Macaca mulatta: one gene and its partners. The protein of the gene in region 1 purifies or fractionates together with the protein of each later gene. This does not show direct contact. Links are inferred from orthologs where the notes say so. Each region holds a gene or a part of one and is shown in the gene's direction. Other genes may lie near its edges.

The links. Proteins that work in one complex are often made in the same cells at the same time.
Region 2: the proteins of TMEM192 (region 1) and LAMP1 purify together in Homo sapiens (affinity purification with mass spectrometry; 3 studies listed by BioGRID and IntAct, with this or other methods). This does not show direct contact. The link is inferred for Macaca mulatta from reciprocal best matches to the Homo sapiens genes TMEM192 and LAMP1.
Region 3: the proteins of TMEM192 (region 1) and CTSD purify together in Homo sapiens (affinity purification with western blotting; 3 studies listed by BioGRID, with this or other methods). This does not show direct contact. The link is inferred for Macaca mulatta from reciprocal best matches to the Homo sapiens genes TMEM192 and CTSD.
Region 4: the proteins of TMEM192 (region 1) and LAMP2 purify together in Homo sapiens (affinity purification with western blotting; 5 studies listed by BioGRID and IntAct, with this or other methods). This does not show direct contact. The link is inferred for Macaca mulatta from reciprocal best matches to the Homo sapiens genes TMEM192 and LAMP2.

The regions. Positions count from the first base shown.
Region 1 is NC_133410.1:173,665,560-173,669,651, reverse strand, and holds the start of TMEM192 (transmembrane protein 192), read left to right. Parts: upstream 1-1,292; 5' UTR 1,293-1,379; coding exon 1,380-1,406; exon of another isoform or gene 1,407-1,972; coding exon of another isoform or gene 1,973-1,996; intron 1,997-4,092.
Region 2 is NC_133422.1:107,561,874-107,565,373, forward strand, and holds part of LAMP1 (lysosome-associated membrane glycoprotein 1), read left to right. Parts: intron 1-962; coding exon 963-1,182; intron 1,183-2,020; coding exon 2,021-2,179; intron 2,180-3,500. UniProt on the Homo sapiens protein: Lysosomal membrane glycoprotein which plays an important role in lysosome biogenesis, lysosomal pH regulation, autophagy and cholesterol homeostasis.
Region 3 is NC_133419.1:1,675,292-1,678,791, reverse strand, and holds part of CTSD (cathepsin D), read left to right. Parts: intron 1-1,965; coding exon 1,966-2,088; intron 2,089-3,500. UniProt on the Homo sapiens protein: Acid protease active in intracellular protein breakdown. Plays a role in APP processing following cleavage and activation by ADAM30 which leads to APP degradation.
Region 4 is NC_133426.1:126,838,806-126,842,187, reverse strand, and holds the end of LAMP2 (lysosome-associated membrane glycoprotein 2 precursor), read left to right. Parts: intron 1-2,391; coding exon 2,392-2,531; 3' UTR 2,532-2,882; downstream 2,883-3,382. UniProt on the Homo sapiens protein: Lysosomal membrane glycoprotein which plays an important role in lysosome biogenesis, lysosomal pH regulation and autophagy.

The DNA.
Region 1 (4,092 bases):
TTTGCTTAGTGCTTTGTAGAGACAACACTGTAGAAAGAGCATTACATGCATTATTTTATTTAATAGAAAATCTCTGGCCAGGCGCAGTGGCTCACGCCTGTAATCCCAGCACTTTGGGAGGCCGAGGTGGGCAGATCACTTGAGGTCAGGGGTTTGAGACCAGCCTGGCCAACATAGTGAAACCCTATCTTTACTAAAAATACAAAAATTAGGACCGGGCATGGTGGCTCTCGCCTGTAATCCCAGCACTTTGGGAGGCCGACGAGGGCGGATCTCGAGGTCAGGAGATTGAGGCCATCCTGGCTAACAAGGTGAAACCCCGTCTCTCCTGAAAATACAAAAAACTAGCTGGGCGTGGTGGTGCACACCTGTAGTCCCAGCTACTTGGGAGGCTGAGGCAGGGGAATCACTTGAACCCAGCAGGTGGAGGTTGCAGTGAGCCAAGATGGCGCCACTGCACTCCAGCCTGGCGCCAGAGCAAAACTCCATCTCCCCCGCCCCACCAAAAAAATGTATGAGTGCATACATTCTAACTGATATCAAAGTTCTCTCCGGGAGCTGGTAACAGAAAATTTATTTCCTTGTTTGCTTACATTTTTACAATCATGAACTTTTCAGAAAATGTCATTTTAGTTTTCTCTTTTTGAAATTCAATTTTAAAAGAAACAAGGGCCCAGTGGCTCACGCCTGTAATCTCAGTACTTTGAGAGGCTGAGGTGGGAGAACTGGCCAGGAGGCCAAGAGTTCGAGACTGCAGTGAGCCACGGTCGTGCTAGGCCACTCCAGCGTGGGCGACAGAGCGAGACTCTGTCTTAATAAACAAACGCCGTAAACATTCCGAAGTGCTTTGTTTCCCATTGGAGAAATCTATAAATATGTCATGGAAATTGGAATCTTTATTCTCCTCCTGTCCCTGGGCTGGTGGAGGATTTTACCGCTGGTTCTACCTAGGCGTAGAGCTGTGTCTGCAAACAAAAAAACTAGGCAAGACCGAAAAAAATTAATGTTCTTAAAATATGCAAGTGGAGCCCGAAAATAGTTAAATTCTTGGACTAGGAAGGCATCCTTTAATGCCCAGGTCTCTGGGTAAGAGCGCACCGAGCCGCTGCGGCCAGAAGCCCCAGGGACCGAAGTGGTTCAGGCGGTAGCCAGCACCCACAGTCCAGGTCTTCTGGGCCGGCACGCCCCTCCCACCATCTCAGCCAATCGGAGCTAAGGGGGCGGGGATGGGCCAGCCGGAGGCGGGACGGACGCAGGAGGGGGTGTGTCTGGGGCGGGGCCTGGCAGGTCCCAGAAGGTGGCAATTTTCGCGGCCAGGGGCTTCTAGGTCCCGGTGGAGAGGCCGGGCTGGCCGGGGCTTCGGCCTCCGGCGTCGGGAAATGGCGGCGGGGGGCAGGATGGAGGACGTGAGTGCACGGAGGTGGCGGGCGGCTGGCCCCGGAATCCCCTTTTTCCTGTGCCGGGGCGCACGGGGCGGAGACTCAAAGAGGGAAGCCACCCTTGGCGAGTGCGGCCGCGGCGGGAGGGGGCGCCGCCTGTGCCGGGGAGGCCTGGGCGCGGGGCTATGGGAGGGCGCCGGCGCCCTTGGGATCCGCGACACGCTAACTCCGGGCTAATTTTCCTGGTGGAGGCTGGGGTGGGGTCCTGGGCGGTGGGCGCGCGGCTCTGGGGGTCCCAGGCTGGCGCCCAGCCCACGTGCGGGTTACGTCTTTGATCCCGGAACTGGCAGCTTCACGTGATGCGCGCCAGGCCTGACAGCCTTTCCTCCCCGCGAGTCTCTGGGAGCTGGGCCACTGGGTTCCGCTCGGACGCCCCAGGGTCGCAGGGGGCGAATCTCCCTTCCTGGTGGGGTCCCTTGCCTTGGCTCTAGAGGCTGTGGACTTGGAGTGACAGCGACGCTCGGGCCGGGCGCCAGCGTCCCGCAGACCTGTGGCTATCATCGCCTGGAAACCCATACGAGAGAAAAAGTGTCATGTGCTGTTTTGAATTTAGCATGGTAGGAATGCAGAGGTTTTTAAATCTTTGATAGATTCAAACCAGATTACCAAAAAAACCAGTGGCCTAGTTTACAGCGTGTATAGTACAGAATGGTAGCATAATTACAAAAATCTTATTTATTTGCTTCAGTATCATAAGGTGTTTTTAGGGGAAACATGTATGTATGCCCAGAATTAACTGGAGTTTCCACTGGAAAGTAATAAAATTTTTCCTCTTGAGAAATGCAAAGTTGACAGTTATATTAAAGCACTAATTTGGGTTAATAAATTAGTAGGAATATTACTGTGATCCTATCACTGAATGAGCTGCATCAGGAAAAGGAAGAGAAACACGAAACAGTTCCAGCACTTCGGTAGCTTAGATTCTTGTGCAGTGAATCTTGATGAAATAAAGACCAAACAATTTCTAATGAAACTAAAATTTTCTATTTTTTCCAGTTGAGAAAATGGAAAATTAACTGTAAGACCTGTAAGTAGATTTGAGACTCATATATATTTAAAGCAAAATTCATTGTTTCTGAGTTTTTAAGGCTGAGCTTCATGAGCTGACAATGTATGGAAAAAAACGAATACATAAGAGGAAAATGAGAGACTCTTAGAAAAACACATGCAGTAAGTGCTTCTTGGTTGATGCTAAGCTGCTCTAGGGTTCTTGGATCTGTAGCTTTTAGTTGTGGGATGCATACAGTACTAGAAATCTGCTTCCTCAAACACTGGAGACTGGGGGCGGTCTGGAAGACTCATGCCTGTAATCCCAGCACTTTGAGAGGCTGAGGCAGGCAGATTACCCGAAGTCAGGAGTTTGAGACCAGTCTGACCAACATGGCAAAACCCTGTCTCCACTAAAAATACAAAAATCAGCCAGGTGTGGTGGTGGGGGCCTGTAATCCCAGATACTGGGGAGGCAGGAGAATCGCTTGAACCCAGAAGGCAGAGATCAGAGATTGCAGTGAGCCAAGATCGCATCACTGCACTCCAGCCTGGGCGACAGAGTGAGACTCTGTCTCAAAAATAAAAATAAATAAAAATTAATTAGAGATTAATGTTTTGCCACCAACCACATATTGGAGTCACTTTAGATCTGAGTAAGTTGCCTGCTTTTGGTATTTCGTAGACATGATTTCTAGCCTTCAGGGAAAAGCTAAAAATTCTGGACCATGCCTTAGTTACAGATACTTAAATGAGTTGAGTCAAAGACTTTGTGTTAGTAAGGATTCATTGTTTGCAGGCAGTGAAACCAACTCTGACTAATTTAAGAAAAAGATTTATTTGAAAGGCTATAGGGCGAGTATATGCCAAGGCCTCTGAACGGACCCAAACAAGGGCATCTCAAGGCACTGAAGTGACAGGAGTCCTTTTCAGGGTCTACCCTGGAATGAATCTGCCTAAACCATGATCTTTCTTCTTTTTTTGTATGGAGTTTCGCCCTTGTTGCCCAGGTTGGAGTGCAATGGTGCGATCTCGGCTCACTGCAACTTCCGCCTCCCGGGTTCAAGTGATTCTCCTGCCTCAGCCTCCCAAGTAACTGGGATTACAGACATGCGCCACCATACCTGGCTAATTTTGTATTTTTAGTAGAGACGGGGTTTCTCCATTTTGGTCAGGCTGGTCTCGAACTCCCGGCCTCAGGTGATCCGCCTGCCTTGACCTCCCAAAGTGCTGAGATTACAGGCGTGAGCCACTGCACCTGACCTCATGATCTTTCTTTTACTGTTCATGGAGAGAGTTGGATTCACCCAACTGTTTTTCGTTCCATGACCACTCCTAGACCAGAGGAGGAGGAAGGGTATTGAAGGATGTTTCCACTAAGACTTAATGCAGAAGTAGACAGTGGGTCCTCAAAGGAAATAGAGTTACTGTCACAGAAGAGGGAAGAGGTACCATGTGGGCAAAAACAACGGATATATGTAGTTAATAATGGAAATGGAAAAAACATTTGACTTCAGGAGTCCTCTTCCCCTCAGCCTTCACTTGCAGATGGTAAGTTCATAGAATGACTGGGTGCTGTTTATATGGTTATGCTGCATATTTCCTATAGGATTCATTGGAAAGTAAATACTCCTAAGTGACATAGAGAAGAACCATAGTATAGTCC
Region 2 (3,500 bases), on another chromosome or scaffold:
TATTTAATTTCTACATCACTTTTTTAATGTTTGGTTTTGGTGGTTGGATTTTTAAAATATTTTGTTGTAAATTATGTTTCACAAATGAGGTCACCTTATGCTGTTATGCATGTCTTTATCACCTCTGTAGTTTCGTGGTGTTTTTTTGGCCCACATTAGTATACTGCTTCACTGTAGTTCATTTGACCTATCTGGTTTATTTTGATGAACATTAGGTGGTTTTCCAGTTGCTTGTTTTGCTTATAATAGTAAATTTAAACATTTCTGCTATGAACACTTCCTTTGTTTAAAGAAACATTATTTAAATGAATATTTCTATAGCAAAAAAGTAGTGATAGCTTTTCTCAAATATATATCTCACCCTGAAACCGGTTTGAATTATTTCAATTTCAAGACGCTTTAAATTCTGTTATATTAACAGAAAATTTATGGGGTTGTTTTGTTCTGTTTAGAGACAGGGTCTTGCTGTGTTGCCCAGGCTGGAGTGCAGTGGTGCAATCGTAGTTCACTGCAGCCTCAAACCTAGGCTCAAGCGATTCTCCTGCCTCAGCCTCCTGAGTAGCTGGGACTACAGGCAGATGCCACCACAATTAGTTTATTTTGTTTTTGTAGAGATGGGGTCTTGCTATGTTGCCCAGGCTGGTCTTGAACTCTTGGGCTCAAGTAGTCCCCCCACCTCAGCCTCCCAGAGTGTTGGGATTACACGCGTGAGCCACCGTGCCCAGCTGCAAATTTTTGATTATAAGAATTATTAAGTCAACTGTCTCTTATACCGGAAATACTTTTCAGTCTGTTACTGACATGTAATACTAACCTTTCTTTGGTTTATATTAAAAATGAGTATCTCAGTAGTGATAGCTGGAAATGGAGTATAAGTTTATATCAGACTTACAGAAAATCTCTCTTTGAACTTTTAATAACCTGTATCCCAATTGGGTTATATTTAATTGTGTTTATTCTAGAACATGACCTTTGACCTGCCATCAGATGCCAAAGTAGTGCTCAACAGCAGCTCCTGTGGCAAAGAGAACACTTCTGACCCCAGCCTCGTGATCGCTTTTGGAAGAGGACAGACACTAACCCTCAATTTCACAAGAAATGCAACTCGTTACAGCGTCCAGCTCATGAGTTTTGTTTATAACTTGTCAGACACACACCTTTTCCCCAATGCAAGCTCCAAAGGTAAGAACCAAAGTGGGCCGATTATAAAGTGATAGAAAATTGGGTTGGAGGATTGTCTAAAGTTACTTTTACCTGAGAATTACAGGTTGGGTGTAGTGGCTCACACCTGTAATCCTAGTATTTTGGGAGGCTGAGGCAGACAGATCACTTGAGGTCAGGAGTTTGAGACCAGCCTGGCCAACATTGCAAAACACTGTCTCTACTAAAAATACTAAAATTAGCCAGGTGCGGTGGCAGGCACCTGTAATCCTACCTACTCGGGAGGCTGAGGCAGGAGAATCGCTTGAACCCAGGAGGCAGAGGTTGCAGTGAGCCAAGATGGCGCCACTGCACTGCAGCCTGGGTGACCGAGTGAGACTCTCTCTAAAAAATTAAAAAACACGCAGCCAGGCATGGTAGCTCACGCCTGTAATCCCAGCACTTTGGGAGGCCGAGGCGGGCAGATCATGAGGTCAGGAGTTCGAGACCAGCCTGACTAACGTGGTGAAACCCCCTCTCTCCAAAAAGTTCAAAAATTAGCTGGGCGTGGTAGCGCGTGCCTGTAATCCCAGCTACTCAAGAGGCTGAAGCAAGAGAATCACCTGAACGCAGAAGGCAGAGGTTGCAGTTAGCCGAGATCACGCCACTGCACTCCAGCCTGGGCGACAGGGCAAGACTCCGTCTCAAAAAAAATAAAAAACACATAAAATAAACTAAGTACGACAAGTGATTTTTCTTTTTAAATCTAGAAATCAAGACTGTGGAATCTGTAACTGATGTCAGGGCTAAAATAAAAAACACATAAACTAAGTACTAAAAGTGGTTTGCAATTGTGATTTTTTTTTTTTTTTTAATCTAGAAATCAAGACTGTGGAATCTATAACTGACATCAGGGCAGATATAGATAAAAAATACAGATGTGTTAGTGGCACCCAGGTCCACATGAACAACGTGACCGTCACGCTCCACGATGCCACCATCCAGGCGTACCTTTCCAACAGCAGCTTCAGCAGGGAAGGTAGGACACTGACCCTTGGCCCTCTGGTGCTAGTGGGTGGGTAGTTGGGCTGCAGTGACTGTGGGTGACCTCACTCCTCTGTGTCCTGGCGCTGGGCTCTGCTTGGAAGGCGTGTGCACACGGCCAGGGACGTCTCTGCAGAACGTTCTCATCCTTCTTCCTAGGGCAGGTGACTTGTAGATGAGGGTGGACACATGTTGATTATAAAGGGTAGAAGATTGAAGTGAAATATCCCAGGACAGAGACAGATGTTGTGTGGTCTCCCTCCCAGGGGAGCTAAAGAAGTAGCACTCGGGGAGGTAGAGAGAATGGTGGTCACCAGGGGCTGGGGGGCGAAGTTGGTCAGAAGATAGAAAGTTTCAGGAAGGCAGGAGGAATTAGTTGGAGAGATCTGTTGTACAGCATGTGACTGCAGTTAATAATGTATTTTTAACTCTTCTCACCATAAAAAAGTGTTTGATTTTAGCTGTAGATGTATTTCAAAACATCCTGACACATGGTAAATACATACAATTATTACTTGAAAATGTCAGAAGGGCAAAGCAGTTGAAACCTTTGTGCTTCTGCTGGGGCAGAGATGATGGGATCAGGGTCGCAGATCTCTCGCAGTGTGAGCCAGTTCTGCTGGGGCAGAGATGGTGGGATCAGGTCACAGATCTCTCGCAGTGTGAGCCAGTTGCCTTCACACAGGGACCTAGTCTCACCTCCATCCGGCTCTTGCCAGCCAGCTTAGGGACAGGTGCAGAAAGACCAGCACTGCCTCTCTGAGGAGGTCAGGGCCGCGATGATGCACCTGCTAACCCAGCCACCGGGCTCTGGGGTCAGGCAGGGTCCAGGCCACCTTCTGGCCCTGTGATCTTGAGCAGAGTAGTTTACCTCTCATTTTCTTTGCATGTGGGATAAGATTAAAAGCCTGTCTTGGAAGATTGTTAGAATTAAAAGAGAAATGCATGCAAAGTGTGTATCTCAGCATCTGGCCCAGAGTTCAGTAGCAAACACCTGGTAAATCCTCTTACTGTTGAGGAGCTTCTCTCCTGAGCCTCACAGTCCAGGTCATAGGTTGTTGTCATTTTGCTGAAGTGTGAGAGCCTGTGATTTGCTTTAGGGTGGGCTTTCCCAGCTGATAGAAATATGTGTGGAGACATCCCTTAGGGTGGGCTTTCCTGGCTTCTAGAAATATATGGAGACATCACAGCCTTCTCTAGTCTTGAGAACTGCTGTGGAGACCTTTGGTTTGCAACATTCCTCAGCAGTCTTGCTTAAAGGCTGAGGAGTGACTGCTGGGCTCCAGGAGGCTCGTCCGTCTCCCGCTCCCCGAGGA
Region 3 (3,500 bases), on another chromosome or scaffold:
GTTCGGGGGTCATGGCAGTTCCTCTTGGTTCAGTTGGCCCGTTGGTCCCTGGACCTGGTGATGGGCATGTGTGGTCCTGGTCCCGGGTTGCTGATGGTGGAGAGGGGGCATGGTGCCCAGGGGCCTGGGAGTCCCTGGGGAGGTGACTTGGGTGGGTGTGGGTCCCCGGCACCACGCAGCGAGCAGCTCTGTGGGTGTCCCCAGCAGGTGCTGGCTGCCCTCTAGGAGGAGCATAGGGGGGCCCTTCCTTCTGGGAAAAAGGTTCTCCCCCAGGGTCCCCACCTGCTGCCACTGCTTCAGCATGGGTGAGCCATGGTCAGGCCACCTTTGGAAGGGGGCCTCGGCCTTAGTTAGTTTCCTCTTCTCGGGCAGACCTGAGTGGAGGGTTCCATATAAGAGGGGTGACTGGGGGTTGGGGGCTTTTGCCCTGGGGGTAGGCAGCGTGTCAGCCGGCGGCCTCCTGCCCTGAGCTGTGCCTGGTCACTGCCCCATACTCTCCAGGGCTGACAGGGGCAGGTTCACCTCATGTGGCTCACTTGGCACTTGGAGTCTCTGGGCCTGACGCCTGACCTTGGGGCACTGCTGGCAGAATTCCGGCCGTGGGGCTGGCCTGGCCTCTTTACTCTGTCCATTGCCTGGGCAGTGAATACTCCTTAGCAACACCCTGGGCTGAGCTGCTCACTGGAGGCCAGGACACAGGTGAACCAGCTGGGCCATTTCCCCAGGAGCCTTGGGGCACAGGCGAGGCAGCGAGGTGAAGAGGGGTCCCCTGAGGGCAAGAGGGCACACAGGCATGAGTGCCCACATAGGGGAGGAGGGCACACAGCCTGAGTGCCCAGGTCGGGGAGGCGGACACAGGTATGAGTATCCAGGTGCGGGGAGGGGCACACAGGCCTGAATGTCCATGTGGGGGAGGGGCACACAGGGTGAGTGCCCAGGTGAGGGGAGGGGCACACAGACTGAGTGCCAGGTGGGGGGAGGGGCACGCAGTTGTGAGTGCCCAGCTGTAGTCTCAAGGCAGCGGCTTGGGCAGGAAGTGAAGCCAGGCAGGAGGGAGGGTCTGAGGGCTTCTGAAAGCATGTTTGGTGAGGAGAGGAGGGGTGGAAGGCACTGATCGGGTTTCTACACTTGGGATTGCAGAGGTGTTGACAGGAAGCAAAGGCGGAGGAGGCTGGAGGAGGGCGGAGGCCCTGAGCAGTGCTGGGAGGACTGGGTCAGGCCTGGTGCTGCCTCGAGTGACGGGCAGCGGGATGGTGGCCAGCTTAGCTGCAGATGCCCTGGCGGGATGGCAGGACCACCCGACACAGAGAGCTTCTCTAACGGGACTGGCAGGATTTGCTGCGTTGAAATCTTGTACTTGAGTCATGTTTGGAAACGAACCCAGGCGACGCGGGCTGCAGGTCCTGGGAAGTGCAGTGTGCTGCTGCCCAGAAGCACCTTGGCCATCGCTGGTCTGGATGAGGGGAGATGAGTGGGCGTGGTTCGGGAATGCAGCTGGAGGCTGTTCCCAGGAGCAGCCAGTGCAGAGGCCCTGAGGCCGGACCCAGCCATCCCAACTTCCCAGATTGTGCCATCACCCCCTCCTAGAAGCCTTCCTTGGTTTCTCTTCTAGACAGACAGACAGGGTCCTCCCCATTGGGCTCCTGGCATTCACTTCCTTGTCTGCCCCCAGCCTTGACCCTGATGTCTGGCTGAACCTTGGCTCTTGAGCAGACCAGGAGAACCTGAGGGTTGAGGAAAACCTCTTCCGGGGCAGGCTGGGCCCACGCAGAGCAGCCCCACCCCAGGAAGAAGGGAGTCCGTCCCTCCTCCTGCCTTCTGGGCCTTTCCATCCCTGCAGGCCCAGAAAGCCCCTCCTTCAGGAAGCTCTCCCCGATTGCCACATTCACCCCCTTACTCCTGACCTGGCCCTCCTGTGCTTGGGGGGTGGAGTGGCAGCTGACTCCTCCCTTCCTTTCCTCCTAGGGACCCAACTGCGCAGCCCGGGGGTGAGCTGATGCTGGGCGGCACGGACTCCAAGTATTACAGGGGTTCTCTGTCCTACCTGAACGTCACCCGCAAGGCCTACTGGCAGGTCCGCCTGGACCAGTGAGTAGTGGCTGCAGTCCGCTCCCCTGGGTTCTGTGGGTGGGAGCGGCATGCAGGGACCCTGGAGGAACCGGGTTCTGCAGGTGGGGCTGCCTGTGGGGAGTGGTGGAGCTGGGCAAGAAAGAGATGGGGTCGGACCAGCCCTTCATGCCCCTCCATGCCCCCCATCCCCTCCATCCCCTCCATCCCCTCCATCCCTTCCATCCCCTCCATCCCCTCTATCCCCTCTATCCCTCCATCCCCCCCATCCCTCCATCCCCTCTATCCCTCCATCCCCTCTATCCCTCCATCCCCTCCATCCCCTCCATCCCCTCTATCCCCTCCATCCCCTCCATCCCCTCTATCCCCTCTATCCCCTCTATCCCTCCATCCCCCCCATCCCTCCATCCCCTCTATCCCCTCTATCCCCTCCATCCCCTCCATCCCCTCCATCCCCTCTATCCCTCCATCCCCTCCATCCCCTCTATCCCCTCCATCCCTCCATCCCCTCCATCCCCTCCATCCCCTCCATCCCCTCTATCCCTCCATCCCCCCCATCCCTCCATCCCCTCTATCCCCTCTATCCCCTCCATCCCCTCCATCCCCTCCATCCCCTCTATCCCTCCATCCCTCCATCCCCCCCATCCCTCCATCCCCTCTATCCCCTCTATCCCCTCCATCCCCTCCATCCCCTCCATCCCCTCTATCCCTCCATCCCCTCTATCCCCTCTATCCCTCCATCCCCCCCATCCCTCCATCCCCTCCATCCCCTCCATCCCCTCCATCCCCTCCATCCCCTCCATCCCCTCCATCCCCTCTATCCCTCCATCCCCTCTATCCCCTCTATCCCTCCATCCCCTCTATCCCCTCTATCCCCTCTATCCCTCCATCCCCTCCATCCCCTCCATCCCCTCTATCCCCTCTATCCCTCCATCCCCCCATCCCTCCATCCCTCCATCCCCTCCATCCCCTCCATGCCCCCCATCCCCTCCATCCCCTCTATCCCTCCATCCCCTCCATCCCCTCCATCCCCTCCATCCCCTCTATCCCTCCATCCCCCCATCCCCCCCATCCCTCCATCCCCTCCATCCCCTCTATCCCCTCTATCCCTCCATCCCCCCCATCCCTCCATCCCCTCCATCCCCTCCATCCCCTCTATCCCCTCCATCCCCTCCATCCCCTCCATCCCCTCCATCCCCTCCATCCCCTCTATCCCCTCTATCCCTCCATCCCCCCATCCCCCCCATCCCTCCATCCCCTCCATGCCTCTGTGACTCTCCATGACCCACCATCCCCTCCATCCGTCTATCTGTCCATCCCTCTATGCCCTTCATCCCCTCATTCCTCTGTGACTCTTCATGACCCTCCATCCCCTCCATCTGTCCATCCCTCCATCCCTCCATGCCCCTCCATGCCCCTCCATCCCCTCCATC
Region 4 (3,382 bases), on another chromosome or scaffold:
GAGGAATATGAATTCATCAGAGGTCTCATAGCCTTGAGCAAATTGTACGCCTCTATATTTGGCTCATCATTTTGCTCAACCGAGATGTTTTTGTGAACTTAAAATCATTGGCAAAAAAGTTCTTAAAGCTAAAAACTGATAGAAGCTTTAAGTGAGCTTTATTTGAGGTATGGGTTTTAGTTTGTAGAGAAGATGGCACTTGGGAGCGGCAGCTTTGAGCATGTTGCATCTGCTTCCTGAGGCCGTCTTCTCACTGGAAACATTTTCATACCTGAATGAAAGCAGTTTGGTCTGATTTTGTTAAGACAAAAGATAAAAGAGTGGTAGCAAAACCTCAAATATCATGAACTATGTTTTTACAAGCCAAAACGATCTGGAGAGTTTTCAAAGCATGTGCCAGTGTGAATGAGGCTTTTTGAAGATCACTCAGGGCTAATGGTAGTATTTATTAGATTTTTAATGAAACCCTTGTTTGATGGGTTCATTATAATGTGTTCATACGAATATGAAAGACATATTTGGCATTATAAGATTAAAATTTGCATGAAGAAAAAAAGCACGTAAAATTCCTTAATTGACTTGTCCTTTTAAGCCCATTACCTAAAATTGGGGGTTTGTGGATCACAACTCTGTTGAGCAGAGCTATTCCAGTCATCCACATACTTTTCAACCATTAATTCTATGGTTTGGAAGGAAATGTGGAAGCTGTGTTTAGAAGCGAATATACTGTGAGCCAGTCGACTGCTTTTGCAGTGGTGTTGAATACCTAGTCTGACTTGGTTAGGCCACAATAAATTGGGCTCTCCACCCTACCATTCTTGTGGTTAAAGACGTTAGTTACACTTTAAAAATATTTTCAAGTATTCATTTTCCCTTTTGCCTGTTTTGCTTATGCACTTCAATTATTTTGATCCTTTACTAGCTTTATTTTTGGACTTTTTATTTGGCTCCCCTTCATTACTCCCCTAATTTTAAGATCAGATTTGTGTTTACAGTTTAAAATCATTTGCAGTATTAGTATCATCACTTCAAGACGGTTTATCTAGTCAACTGTAATAGAGATGAGCTATGCTCTTTCTCTCACTTTGAAACTTTGGTTTTTATGTATGTAGAATTAAAAATATCACCCAAAGAGATATACAACATTTAATACTGATATTGAATGTATAATCTATTCGTGGAACTAGGTTCTTGGCTGTGGGTACCTATAAATACAACACATAGGTAATATTTGACTGTAAGGGAAAGAAATAGAATTGCAATAAGGCAGAAGAGTGTTGATTGGATTTTACTGGATCAGACCACTTTCTAGAAATAGAAAAAAATAGCCCCTTTAGGCTGCCAACCCTGACCAGATAAGAAATGCAGTAAGCACACTCAAATTAGTAAGAGGTCCCAGTTTCTTGACTTTGCAGCCACTAAAATTGTATGTTCTAAGTCATGATCTGCAAACTTTAAAGTTCCAAACAGTAAGTGTTTTAGGCTTTGGGGCCATATGGTCTCTGTCACAACTATTCAACTCTGCTATTGTAGTACGAAAACAGCAACACATAAACAGATGATGGGCTGGGTTCCAATAAAACCTTATTTATGGACACTGGAATTTGAATTTTATATGTTCTCATGAGTCACAAAATATTTTTTTCAACCATTTAAAAATGTAAAAGCCCTTTTTAGCTCTTGGACCAGATTTGGCCCATGGGCTACAGCTTGCTGACCCCTGACTCTAAAGGGACTCCAGAGCCAGCCTGGCTATTCTCATCACATGATACCTTCCTGATCCTGTTTCTACTTTCCCAAAAGACATTCATGCTACCACTGAGCGGCTAATCTGGCTATGTAAAAGTGGGCTAGATTAGCTCCCTTAATTTGTGATAAAGTAATACTCCTATTTTGGAAAGGACTTGGAATATAAACAAACATATACGTGTGTATATATGTATATGCAAACATATATATCATATATATAATGTGTGCATTATATATCATGTATATAATTGCATTATATATCATGTATATAATGTGTGCATTATATATATCATGTATATAATGTGTTCATTATATATCATGTGTAATGTGTGCATTATATATTATCATGATATATATATTATGATATGAGCTGTGTTTATAGATGTAAATGAATATGCATGTATTCATATATATGAATATCTACATATATACACGTAAACAAATGAAAGAACAAAGTCTTAGAATTTTAATTCTAGAACAGTTCTCCATTTTCTATAGCTTTATCATAAAAATATACCTGTCTTAGTTACTTGAAGTTGATCTTGTAAGAACATTTCTGACTTTTAAATCAACATCTTTTACTTTAGGACATTCTTTTGTGATTATACTCATTATTTGTTACACACTTTTTCTCACCTACAGCCCAAGAGTGTTCGCTGGATGATGACACCATTCTAATCCCAATTATAGTTGGTGCTGGTCTTTCAGGCTTGATTATCGTTATAGTGATTGCTTACGTAATTGGCAGAAGAAAAAGTTATGCTGGATATCAGACTCTGTAACACTAATCAATACGTGATCTCTGTTACAAAAGAAAAAAGCAAGTACAAGTTCCAACATGCAATACTGGTCAATTTAAGGTATATTTAGTTGCAGTCCGGCTCTTTAGAATGGGTGGTGTGGGGGATTTCAAACTTAAACAAAAAACTATCAACTACAAATTAGTTGCCTGACTTTGGTTTCTCCAACCAAGCAATTTAAAACTTATTTTTACAGCAAAAGATGTGCAAAATCACTGAATTATAGGTTCTGTTTTACTGTCTTGAATTAGTATTTCAGTGTTTTCATTTTAGACATTTAGACTAAAAATACACAGTTTAGAAAAAACAATTTTTGAAAAAGATTTTTTTTTTCCCTGCATGTAGTTGAGTTGGAACAACATGTTCTACAGTGGATTTGTACTTGCTCCTTTTGCTCTTTTTTTTGTGATTTTTGTTTGCAGGTTAACTTAGCTACTTTGGCATTGCTGCATATTTGACCTATGAGAGATATACTGGTAGATTTGAACAGGGGCTGGTATTATGATGTTCTTAGCAATAAATGCTTTTCTAATGCTTTTTGAATATATTTGTATTTATGTGGCTGCAATGACAAAAGATACAAAAGCTTTTTAAAATTTAGAGTAGGTATTAATCTTATTGTTTAATCCTTTTTTTAAAAAACTGGATATTTCAATCTTTTAAATTGCAAGATACAAGACTATTCCAACAGGGCATTTCAATCCATTTTTTAGGTGCTTTAGAGATAATTGCTTGCCAGTGCCAATTGAGGGCATTAGTACTTTGTGCTCATAAATTGGCCTCTGTATGCAATACTAAAATTAATGCAGATTTCTCTTTAGCCTTCCAATATT